Linked DNA regions of Drosophila melanogaster. The main gene of each other region encodes a partner of the protein of the gene in region 2 in a complex. Each region holds a gene or a part of one and is shown on either strand. Other genes may lie near its edges. A codon is read from its position in the direction of its gene.

Region 1 (5,058 bases), on a different chromosome or scaffold from region 2:
AGCCTTTTCTAATCCAAGGCCCATTGGTGGTATCAATTTGCCTATCACTTGGGCAAGATCCGGAAGTTCACTGATGTTGCTTGCGGCGGAAGCGCACTGGTATATTTCCGCATTGTCCACAGTGCGGCGATATTTGAATAGTAACGAATTCGCGGCACAGCATAACTGAACGGCGAGCACTTTTGAAATGCCACTTAAAATCAGGCACACTAAACTTAGTCCGATGTTCATTGTTTACGGCTCGTCTATTATACCCAATGACCGATTTGCGAGCTTGTGTAATGTTTGTATCTTTTCTTAGAACGGACTTTTCATATCTTATCATTGAGGAATCGTTATCGGACCATATACACTTCGAACCGCATGCAGTTGCCGGATTTAACGAACTGAACTGAAGTCTTCGCGATTCCTTCGCGAGCAAATGCGAATGTTTATGGGTAAACATTTGGCCCGCACACAGACGGACATAGCTCGACGTATATAGGCAATACATTTATGGATTCTCGTAAGCCTATACAAATAAGTTATGCCCCATGGAGTGCCTAACACTTAGCATGCTGGGGGTGCTCACGGATGGTATCAATACACCCAAATGGCCGCATATTTATGTAGGTACTTTGTGGTTCTAACACATATCTATCTATCTACACAATTCAATTGATGACTTTGTACACTAGCTTCTGACGGCAAGACAAATGCGACTGCTCGTGTTAACATTGTGCAAAGCTCATTAAGGGGAAATTGATAAGGTACACAGATACACACATCCATACACACTTATGTACAGAGGTGGGTGAGGTAAGCAATGGATCCTTTAATCGTCTAAGTACTCTACGCACCATAAATCACCTGGAAAATGTCAACGATACGCAAGTATTTATCTTTTCAATTAACTTAAGTCTAGTTATTAGCTGACTTTTTTCCATATATTCTTTCATGACACAAACTAAAATCGCAAACATAAATGTCATTTTTATAATATACAAATCTCCTCTATCGCAAGTACTATTTATTTATTCTAATACAAATATATTAATTTTGTCATTCTCCAATCGGAATAAGTATAAATAAAGTATAAATCCATTGGTTAAGAAAAGAAAAATCAAAAAAATAATTTTTATTCATTTTAATGTTATTAGTTAGTTTCTAATGTGATCTTTCATTAAATATTTAATACTTATAAATTATAAATGAAAAGATATTCATAAAAATCGCAGACAATCAAATTAAAGCTTAACTCAGATGTTCTTCTTTCATACACGTTCGAAATCTTCCTGTCGTTCCTAAGTCCCGTTCACACAGGCAGCTGCTTCATCTGAAATGCAGTTCATATATTGTTTTTGTTATAATTAAACGGTGATTTTAACCCGGCCGGAGTGGAGTTGCTCATTGGAAATGCTTTTCTAAATTAATTTAAATTTAAAATAACGGCAACAGCAGCTAACACAACAAAAATGTGAAATATTTGGGTATACATATACACCTACAGGATTTATAAGAGGAAAATTTAAATGCCGATTTTTTTTAAATAAAATAATTCTTGCCTAAATATGTGGACTAATTTTAAAACGTTCATTTGTTTTTGTTAAGCCATGTATAAATTTCTACAATATTATTGTTCGTCATTTTGAACTTGCAAAATTTGTTTCATTCCAACGTTCCAAATCAGGGCAATACATATTTATTATCTACACCGAGTGAAAATATTTTCCGAGTCATCAGAAATTTGTATTATTGATAGCATGTTGTAAGGCGACTCGACTATTTTGAAGCTAAGTGAAATTTTATATTGAAACGCAAAGTTGAATACGTGAGCAGTATATGAAAATCGGTGAATACAGTGACTTCATTAGTCAGCCGAAAGCAAAAGAGAGCGAAATACATTTTTTAAACAAACTAAACTAAAATTTCACTGTGAATAATGATGACTGAAAAGTTAAATTCTGGGCACACTAATTTAACAAGCAAGGGGTTTGTATATTTTATATTTATTTATATTTTTTTTTTCACAAGAGGACCCAAGCTTGGTGTCCCAACAAACATAATATGCATGCGTATTCATCAGCCCATATTTATGATTAGATGCCGAAAAGACAAGCCGTTTTATAGTTTAGAACGTCAATTTTTGCAAATGATTGAGCATGTAAAAGCCGAAGATCTGTATTTTAGCAACATCATGTAGTTAGGCTGTTTTCACTCAACAACTAAACCTGCAGAACATGTTATCTAATGAAAAAAACCAAACAATGTGATTCCCGTATTTATATTACTTTATTGTATGTAGTAGCGGAACATGTGTACATATGTATAAAAGAGTTATCTACATATGTAGTTGCACTCGTGGACTTATTTACCGCTAAAAATGTTGCTAAATATAATTGCACTGACTTAAATCATTTAGAAACTAACACTGTATTTAGGTAAAACTTCTATTGGGTGATTCTCAACTTTTGAGATCAGAACAAAACAGGTATTTTTTTTTTGCATTTCAGCGCCATGAACAGTTATTCGTGGGCTGCCATTTTAAAATTTGGAGTAGCGTTTCTTTTTCTCTCCTCCATAAATGTGCGAAAGAGAAAAAATGTTGAGTTCAATCGCTTTTAGATTGTTCAGTTCTTAAATATTCAAGACATTATCCATCTTTGTTTACGATTTAAAATCAATATTAACATTATTATTAATATACATTAATACATGGCTTAGACTTTAGCTTAAAATGCACTTTACATAAAAGAACTCATTTACAAAATTTTAAAAATCAAAAATTTTTAATATATATATATGCTTATATATGCCATCCATATATATATGGATGTGAATGACCTACATATATCGTAATACTTTAATTACCATTTTATTTTTTTTCTTTTCATCCAGGATTATAAATGATCTTCAAATTGCTGGAAACACAAGTGACGATATGGGCTGGAAATCAAAGCTGAAGCTGCCGCCAAAGGACAACCGATTCAAAACAACTGTGAGTTTGCCGACAAATCAATCGGAATTTATACAATTTAAAGCACAAACAAACTAACAAATAAATGTATTGCCATTGCCTTACTCAGGATGTGACCGATACGCGAGGCAATGAATTCGAGGAGTTTTGCCTTAAAAGAGAACTGCTTATGGGTATATTCGAGAAGGGATGGGAGCGCCCTTCGCCAATTCAGGAAGCAGCTATTCCTATAGCATTAAGTGGAAAAGATGTGCTGGCTCGGGCCAAGAACGGCACAGGCAAGACAGGAGCCTACTGCATCCCAGTTTTAGAACAAATCGACCCAACCAAGGACTACATTCAGGCACTTGTGATGGTCCCCACCCGAGAGTTGGCGCTACAAACCTCACAGATATGTATTGAGCTGGCGAAACATCTTGATATCCGGGTAATGGTCACAACGGGAGGTACCATTCTAAAGGATGACATTCTTCGTATTTATCAAAAAGGTGGGTTTTGATGATAGTTAAATAACCTAATATCGGTTTAATTGCAACTTTCTAAATTTTCCCTACGCCTGCAGTACAATTAATTATTGCCACTCCCGGACGAATATTAGATCTGATGGATAAGAAAGTTGCCGATATGTCGCATTGCAGAATATTAGTTTTGGATGAGGCCGATAAGCTATTGTCGCTTGATTTTCAAGGCATGCTGGATCATGTTATACTAAAGTTACCAAAGGATCCACAGATCTTGCTATTTTCCGCAACATTTCCACTAACAGTCAAGAATTTCATGGAGAAGCATTTACGCGAGCCTTACGAGATCAACCTGATGGAGGAGCTAACACTGAAGGGTGTCACTCAGTACTATGCATTCGTACAGGAGCGCCAGAAAGTACACTGCTTGAATACGCTCTTTTCGAAGCTGCAGATCAATCAGTCTATCATATTCTGCAATTCCACGCAACGTGTCGAGCTATTGGCCAAAAAGATCACAGAGCTTGGATATTGCTGTTACTATATACACGCTAAGATGGCCCAGGCACACAGAAATCGAGTATTCCACGATTTCCGCCAAGGACTCTGTCGCAATCTGGTGTGCTCCGACCTGTTCACCCGTGGTATCGACGTGCAGGCCGTGAATGTAGTAATCAATTTCGATTTCCCACGAATGGCAGAGACATACTTGCATCGAATTGGTCGCTCAGGACGTTTCGGTCATTTGGGTGAGTTTAATTGCATTCTCATATTATAGTTTAGCCTATTTACAATCTTCGTTTCTCATTTTAAGGTATTGCTATTAATCTGATAACCTACGAGGATCGGTTTGATCTGCATCGGATTGAAAAAGAACTTGGAACCGAAATAAAGCCTATTCCGAAGGTCATAGACCCCGCCCTTTATGTCGCAAACGTTGGCGCATCCGTTGGCGATACTTGCAACAACAGTGATCTGAATAATTCTGCGAACGAGGAGGGCAACGTTAGCAAATAAAACGGATATGCCCTGTGTAACGCTAGTATCTGAAATAGAGTCTAAATCGTGGAATCAATAAAAACAGATGAACTATTTCAGAAATCAAAATTGTATTAAATAAATGGAAAGCAATTCAATTTTTAAATGCGCTCTTAAGATAACTGAAATGACTGGTCTATAAAAAAAAGGCTCGTTCACTTTGTGGGTTTTGGTGCTGAGAAGTATTAACATTAACTATTGGGGATTTGGTAAGGAAAGTTAGTCGAATGCTATTAAAAGGCAGGCTAAGGTCGTTTAATATCAATCCAGTTTTTAGTAAAGGGTTTAAATCAAATAAAAGGTCTAAAAGTAATTACAGGATTTTCGGACAAGAGAAGTACACTTGGATCAAGCTAAATCCTAGATTTACTTACATGGAAGAATTACCATTGGCAATTACCCGATTTACTAGATTCCAAAAAAAAAGTACAAAGGGATCATTATAATTTAAATAAAATTTATTTATTAGCATCCAAAATTGTAAGCTTTGCTTGTCAGAATATTTACAATAAATGTACAATATTAAACAAATCATATATATAGGATAGGGTCATAAATTTCAAAACTTTACGTATTAAATATGTTCGATGAGGAGGAAGAGGA
Region 2 (4,801 bases):
CGGTCTTTTTACATCGTCATAGGAGTCTAAGCTTTTGGTTTTTAAAGTATTATGCGAACTTTTGATAGGTTTTAGATCAGTATCTCCATGAAAGGCTCCACTAGCATCAAAACTGCCACCCAATTTCGATGGATTTTCAATTGCCCATTCGGGTAGATTTTCGTCGGCATCAACACCGGCTGCATTATTAACAGTCCATAATTGAGATATTTTAGAACTCGACAACCGTGGGTGCGATATGCTCCCTACTCCCTCTGCAGCTCCGATTCCAGATCCTTTATTGTTTCCAGTCCGATCTGTACTTAAAGTCGCAACTGTTGAAATTGAGCGTTGTAAACTAGCTGCATTGTCGACGCTAGGATCTTCATCACGCCAGCTTGTAGATCTTCCTAAAAAAAATTTTTTTTTAAGTTCTATACTGTTGTTCAATAACTTGGACTATTTAAATTTTAACTTGGTTCATCTTCTTAGCAAATATAGCAAACTTACTAAACAGAAAACCGCTATAGTCGAGCTATTGCAAAACTGTTACCCATTTAGTTAGATACTAGAAATGCAAGCGATATTCAGATATACAAGTAGGAAAGCAAATATGTCAGTGATTGTACACCTGATCCACATAGCGGCAGAACACTAACTCTTAATCACTAAGCACGACAAAAATTTTATAAATACATTATATATACAATTTATTATAGTATCCAAACTTCGATAGAAGATTACCGGGTGAAGAAGTACATTTTAATAAAGCGTAAAGCGTATCAAAGTGTAAAAAGTATATTTGGTTACGTTGTTATGTATAGGCAAGCCCATATTTGAATAGTTTGAACTGTTAGTTAGTTGGACTTTGATACATAACACTTAAAATGGGCTCGCGTTTTTTTATTTTTCAATTTTGATAAATCAAGTCTATTCTGGAAAAAAAAAGATCATTATTTGAAAACGTACTAAAGCTACCAGCGATGTACTTTAGGAATGAAATAAAAACAAGGCCTGATGCATTGCATAGAAATTACCATAGGGATTTCAGCTGGTCTATTAGCATTTTTGTTTAAATATTCTCATATAAAATACTTCATTAACTAAAACATTTAATCTTAATTTTAATATATTTATGAAAAGGTTTTTTAGAATACGTTTTAAAGAAACACAAACTTTACAACAGATTGTAGCATGAATGGTATCGAATGAATAGCCAACTATATAGGCTGGGGAAAGTTTTGGAAAGTCAAATTTACATGATAGAGATAGCAGTACATGTATTATTGTGCTCATATGTGTAGGAGTAAAAATGAAAAATAATAATATAAAGGTAATTGACTGACCCCACCGATGGCTATTGGTACCAAAACCTGCGTTTGTACTTCCACCGACGACACCGCTCCGCCAACCAGCAATATCGGGTCCGCTCATGGAACCGCTGGAGGATGGACCATCACCGGATCCATCTTCGTTACGTGTTCGTCGCCAGTTTTCCAAGTTGCGATGATTATTAGAATAATCTTTTCGAGGACTTGAGCTTGGAGTTCCATTCCAATCTAGAGCACCAGAGCCACTAGTGGAGGTGGTGGTTGCCGCAGAATCTCCAGTTCCGTTGCGGTCGCTCCATGTGCGTTCGGCCTGGCAGAAAAAATCAACAACTAATCGTACTTCCTTATTTAGTTCGTATTTGCAATTACCTTTGATATAACCGATAAGCTTTCATCATATAGACCGCTTGGGCGTTGGTATATCGGATGATAGGCCGATTTTCCGCGCATCCGTCCCCGGTCAACGGTTCCACCACGTCCAGAGCCTCGGGAGGCACTACCAAATCCACTGGGCGAGCGCTGCAACCAGGCAGGACGAGACTAGTTTCAAAGAAAAGTAAATTATGTTCTAAAACTCATGTCAAATTACTTCACATACGTTATTGCCAAGTGAGTTTTGGTTGATGTCCTCCTCGGAGCTCGGTGTCAGTGCAAGAGGGCACTGAACCTTTTCCACGAAGAGCTTTTTGAACGATGGCAGGATCTGCGGCAGTAGGCAGTTCCGATCGAACAAGGACAGCATTTCCTCGCGTCCGTACCGGTATTCTGGAAATAGATTACGGGAAGCGGATGCCGCCGTGTTGTTTCCCAGGTTGTGCCCTCCAATCGAATTGTTTTGAGCTGCATTACCAACGTTGTAGGTACTGGGAGAGCCCGAAGGCTCGGCTGACATATTGCGCAACCATTCCGGGCCAAATTTCATTGAATCTGTCATTTTTATTTGCCTCTTGTTTAATGTTATGCTGACAATAAGTTCAAAAAAGTTTTTGGTTGATTTATTTGTAAGAAAGGCAATGAAATCAAATTTTCAGTGTTTTTGTTAAACTCCTAATGGCTTTATGATTCTGTGCACAATTGTTTATTTTTCAAACAGTTCAAGTTCTATAAATAAAGCAAACAGCTTCAAGTCTTTTTCAAAGCAAACAGTACAACAAAGGATTTATTTTAAAGCTTAGTTAAGAACTAGTGATAAAAAAAAACTTACCAGAGCTTTACAGAATGGATAGTAAAAGTAAAATAATATAATATAAAAGCAACACAGAAACCTAACCTAAAATATCAAACTGATTGTCACACACGAACGCGAAATACACATGCACCCTCATCACACATTAAAATTAACATGTTTATAGAATTGAAATGTCTGATTCGAGCTTTCATGTTTGAAATATAGAACTAATAGAACTAATATAGATCTAAAAGGTAAAAAAAATTCGTAAGTATCTGGACGCATACAGACACACAGTGATGTATGTACAAATTTTTGATTTGTGTGACTTTATCACACTGGGCGGGTGTGTTTTATTTTAAAGATTGTTTAGTTAATTCTTCTGGTAATCTTAATAAAATCAAGCCACTATAACTGCACATCCTAAAAAAATTTTTTAAATTGAATTTCGTAAAAATATTCAACTTACACGTACCACCGAGATATCTTAAAATACCAACGCCAACATAAGATAGAGCAAGGCCAGCGTGGCCGTCTTGCGATATGTCAAGCTTCCAATTTAATTTAGCACAGGGGTATTCTTGCCACTTTTGCTTCTTATACACTAGCTCCACTACTACTAGTTGACAGATACATCACCCTTGTCTTCACATTGCAACATCAAGCACCGGGATTTAGAGAATGCATAAGTGTCAATCTTTAAATCAACCAATCCGTCTGTCTGTAAGAACGTCTCGCTTTCAGGAACTATAAGAACTAGAACTTAAAGCATGCTGATTCTATAGATATAGACGCAGACGATGTTTCCACGACCACTAACTATGTGTTGATTTTTTTCTTTAAGTTGAGTAACGGGAATTCTTGCTTTAATATTATTATTTAATTATTATCACTGCCAAAGCTAGATTCCTACCTTGTTGTTAGCTTTGTATTGAAACTTAGTCTTTCGGAATTGTTAATAATTTTATATTTAACAAGCAGTCGATTTTCATTTCAAGTTCAAGTTTTTCAGTATTATAACATAACAGTAGAAATAGTAAAGTGTAAGTAAACGATGTATTAGTTTATTTTGAATAAATATATAAATACAAATGTATATATTTAAATATATATATATATATATATATATAGTAGTGGATATATATATTTATATATATATATATAAATTTTAATATGGTTACATTATTTTCATAACCGTTTTCATAACCACGTTTGTCTGGTTTGATCCAAAATGAATACCTGGTTTGTGATTATTTTGGTCTTTTTACATAAGTCATGAAGTGAGGGGTATGTGTCAAAAATTTGCTGCGATGTATACGCACCCCTTTTGTCTTTTGTATAACTGTCTGTTCGTACGTATGAACGCCCAGATATTGGAAACGAAAATCGCCAATGGTGCATGTGATTTGTCTGAAAACGATATGACGCCCATAACGCTGATGCCCATGTTCTGAAGGATTTTCGGATACCTTAATCGTATAACAGCGAAGCTCGAGCGATCTTAATCTTTACCACGTTTCGAGGCAGTGAGTACATCTGAAATTTTGGCACTGTTCCCAGATCGGGCGCTTAACGCATCGCTTATAATGCTTTTAATTTAGCGTAAGGGTCATTTCAAAATGTAAACCAAAAACGCAGACTTCGTAACGAGACCTAAAGTCAGTTGCACCCGTTCTGAGCGTTCCTGCGTGTGGGGGAAAAAATATCATTGCAACAGCAGGATCTCAGCCTGCTCCAAGTTAGGAGTATGAGAAGGAATGGCGAGCAGTAGGCGAGGCTTCTCGTTATCTCGGCAAGGATGAAAACGGCTTCTAAGGCAGTTAAACTTTATACATATAATCTCCTACAGTACGTCGTTAACCAACGTGGAAAGGCCTTCAACACAGTTACAACGACAGGGTGAGTGCATAATATGTAAGCCTGATGTTGGTTCCCATTAAGTGCAAGATAAAGACAAATAAATATATATTAAATTTGAACCTCATAAGTAACAATGGGACGGTTATCCAGATTAGAGTTGATTGAATCCCCATATAATTCTATGGTTTAAGCTAAATTTCTGAACTATTAATTTTGTTAAGAAAATAGTGAAGTTCGGCACGCTGAAGTCGCCATGATACAAAAAAGATAAATATATTAAGAATGGAAGTAGTTATTTAATTTAGCTTTATTGTGCTATAATATTAGATCATGGACTAGAATTATAAGATTACTAGTATGCCTCCAGAAATCGAATGATATGCATATGGTGTAGGTGTTAAAAATATTTAAATAAACATGAATTTTGAATTTTTAAACATTTTTAAACATTTGAACAATAACA

The links. Proteins that work in one complex are often made in the same cells at the same time.
Region 1: the proteins of Gyf (region 2) and me31B are in contact, whole or in part, in a crystal structure (PDB 6S8R), measured with the Drosophila melanogaster proteins. Residues at the interface, in NP_001162827.1 of Drosophila melanogaster: Glu344, Asn345, Pro347, Glu348, Trp349, Ala350, Ile351, Glu352, Pro354, Ser355, Lys356, Leu357, Gly358, Gly359, Ser360, Phe361, Asp362, Ala363, Ser364, Gly365, Ala366, Phe367, Gly369; in NP_523533.2 of Drosophila melanogaster: Tyr274 (codon at 3,809), Ala275 (codon at 3,812), Phe276 (codon at 3,815), Val277 (codon at 3,818), Glu279 (codon at 3,824), Arg280 (codon at 3,827), Gln281 (codon at 3,830), Lys282 (codon at 3,833), Val283 (codon at 3,836), His284 (codon at 3,839), Cys285 (codon at 3,842), Thr288 (codon at 3,851), Leu289 (codon at 3,854), Ser304 (codon at 3,899), Thr305 (codon at 3,902), Gln306 (codon at 3,905), Arg307 (codon at 3,908), Leu310 (codon at 3,917), Leu311 (codon at 3,920), Lys314 (codon at 3,929), Glu317 (codon at 3,938), Leu318 (codon at 3,941), Phe370 (codon at 4,097), Pro420 (codon at 4,312), Ile421 (codon at 4,315), Lys423 (codon at 4,321).

Annotation. Positions count from the first base shown.
Region 1 is NT_033779.5:10,237,615-10,242,672, forward strand, and holds me31B (maternal expression at 31B), read left to right. Parts: upstream 1-1,726; 5' UTR 1,727-1,921; coding exon 1,922-1,971; intron 1,972-2,324; exon of another isoform or gene 2,325-2,470; intron 2,471-2,877; coding exon 2,878-2,977; intron 2,978-3,065; coding exon 3,066-3,444; intron 3,445-3,518; coding exon 3,519-4,166; intron 4,167-4,231; coding exon 4,232-4,434; 3' UTR 4,435-4,558; downstream 4,559-5,058. Other genes in the region: mthl15 (methuselah-like 15), read right to left, coding at 1-231; chico, read right to left, coding at 5,023-5,058. UniProt on the Drosophila melanogaster protein: ATP-dependent RNA helicase which is a core component of a variety of ribonucleoprotein complexes (RNPs) that play critical roles in translational repression and mRNA decapping during embryogenesis, oogenesis, neurogenesis and neurotransmission.
Region 2 is NC_004353.4:864,023-868,823, forward strand, and holds the start of Gyf (gigyf), read right to left. Parts: upstream 3,004-4,801; 5' UTR 2,954-3,003; exon of another isoform or gene 2,948-2,953; intron 2,273-2,947; 5' UTR 2,245-2,272; coding exon 1,909-2,244; intron 1,851-1,908; coding exon 1,680-1,850; intron 1,621-1,679; coding exon 1,326-1,620; intron 390-1,325; coding exon 1-389.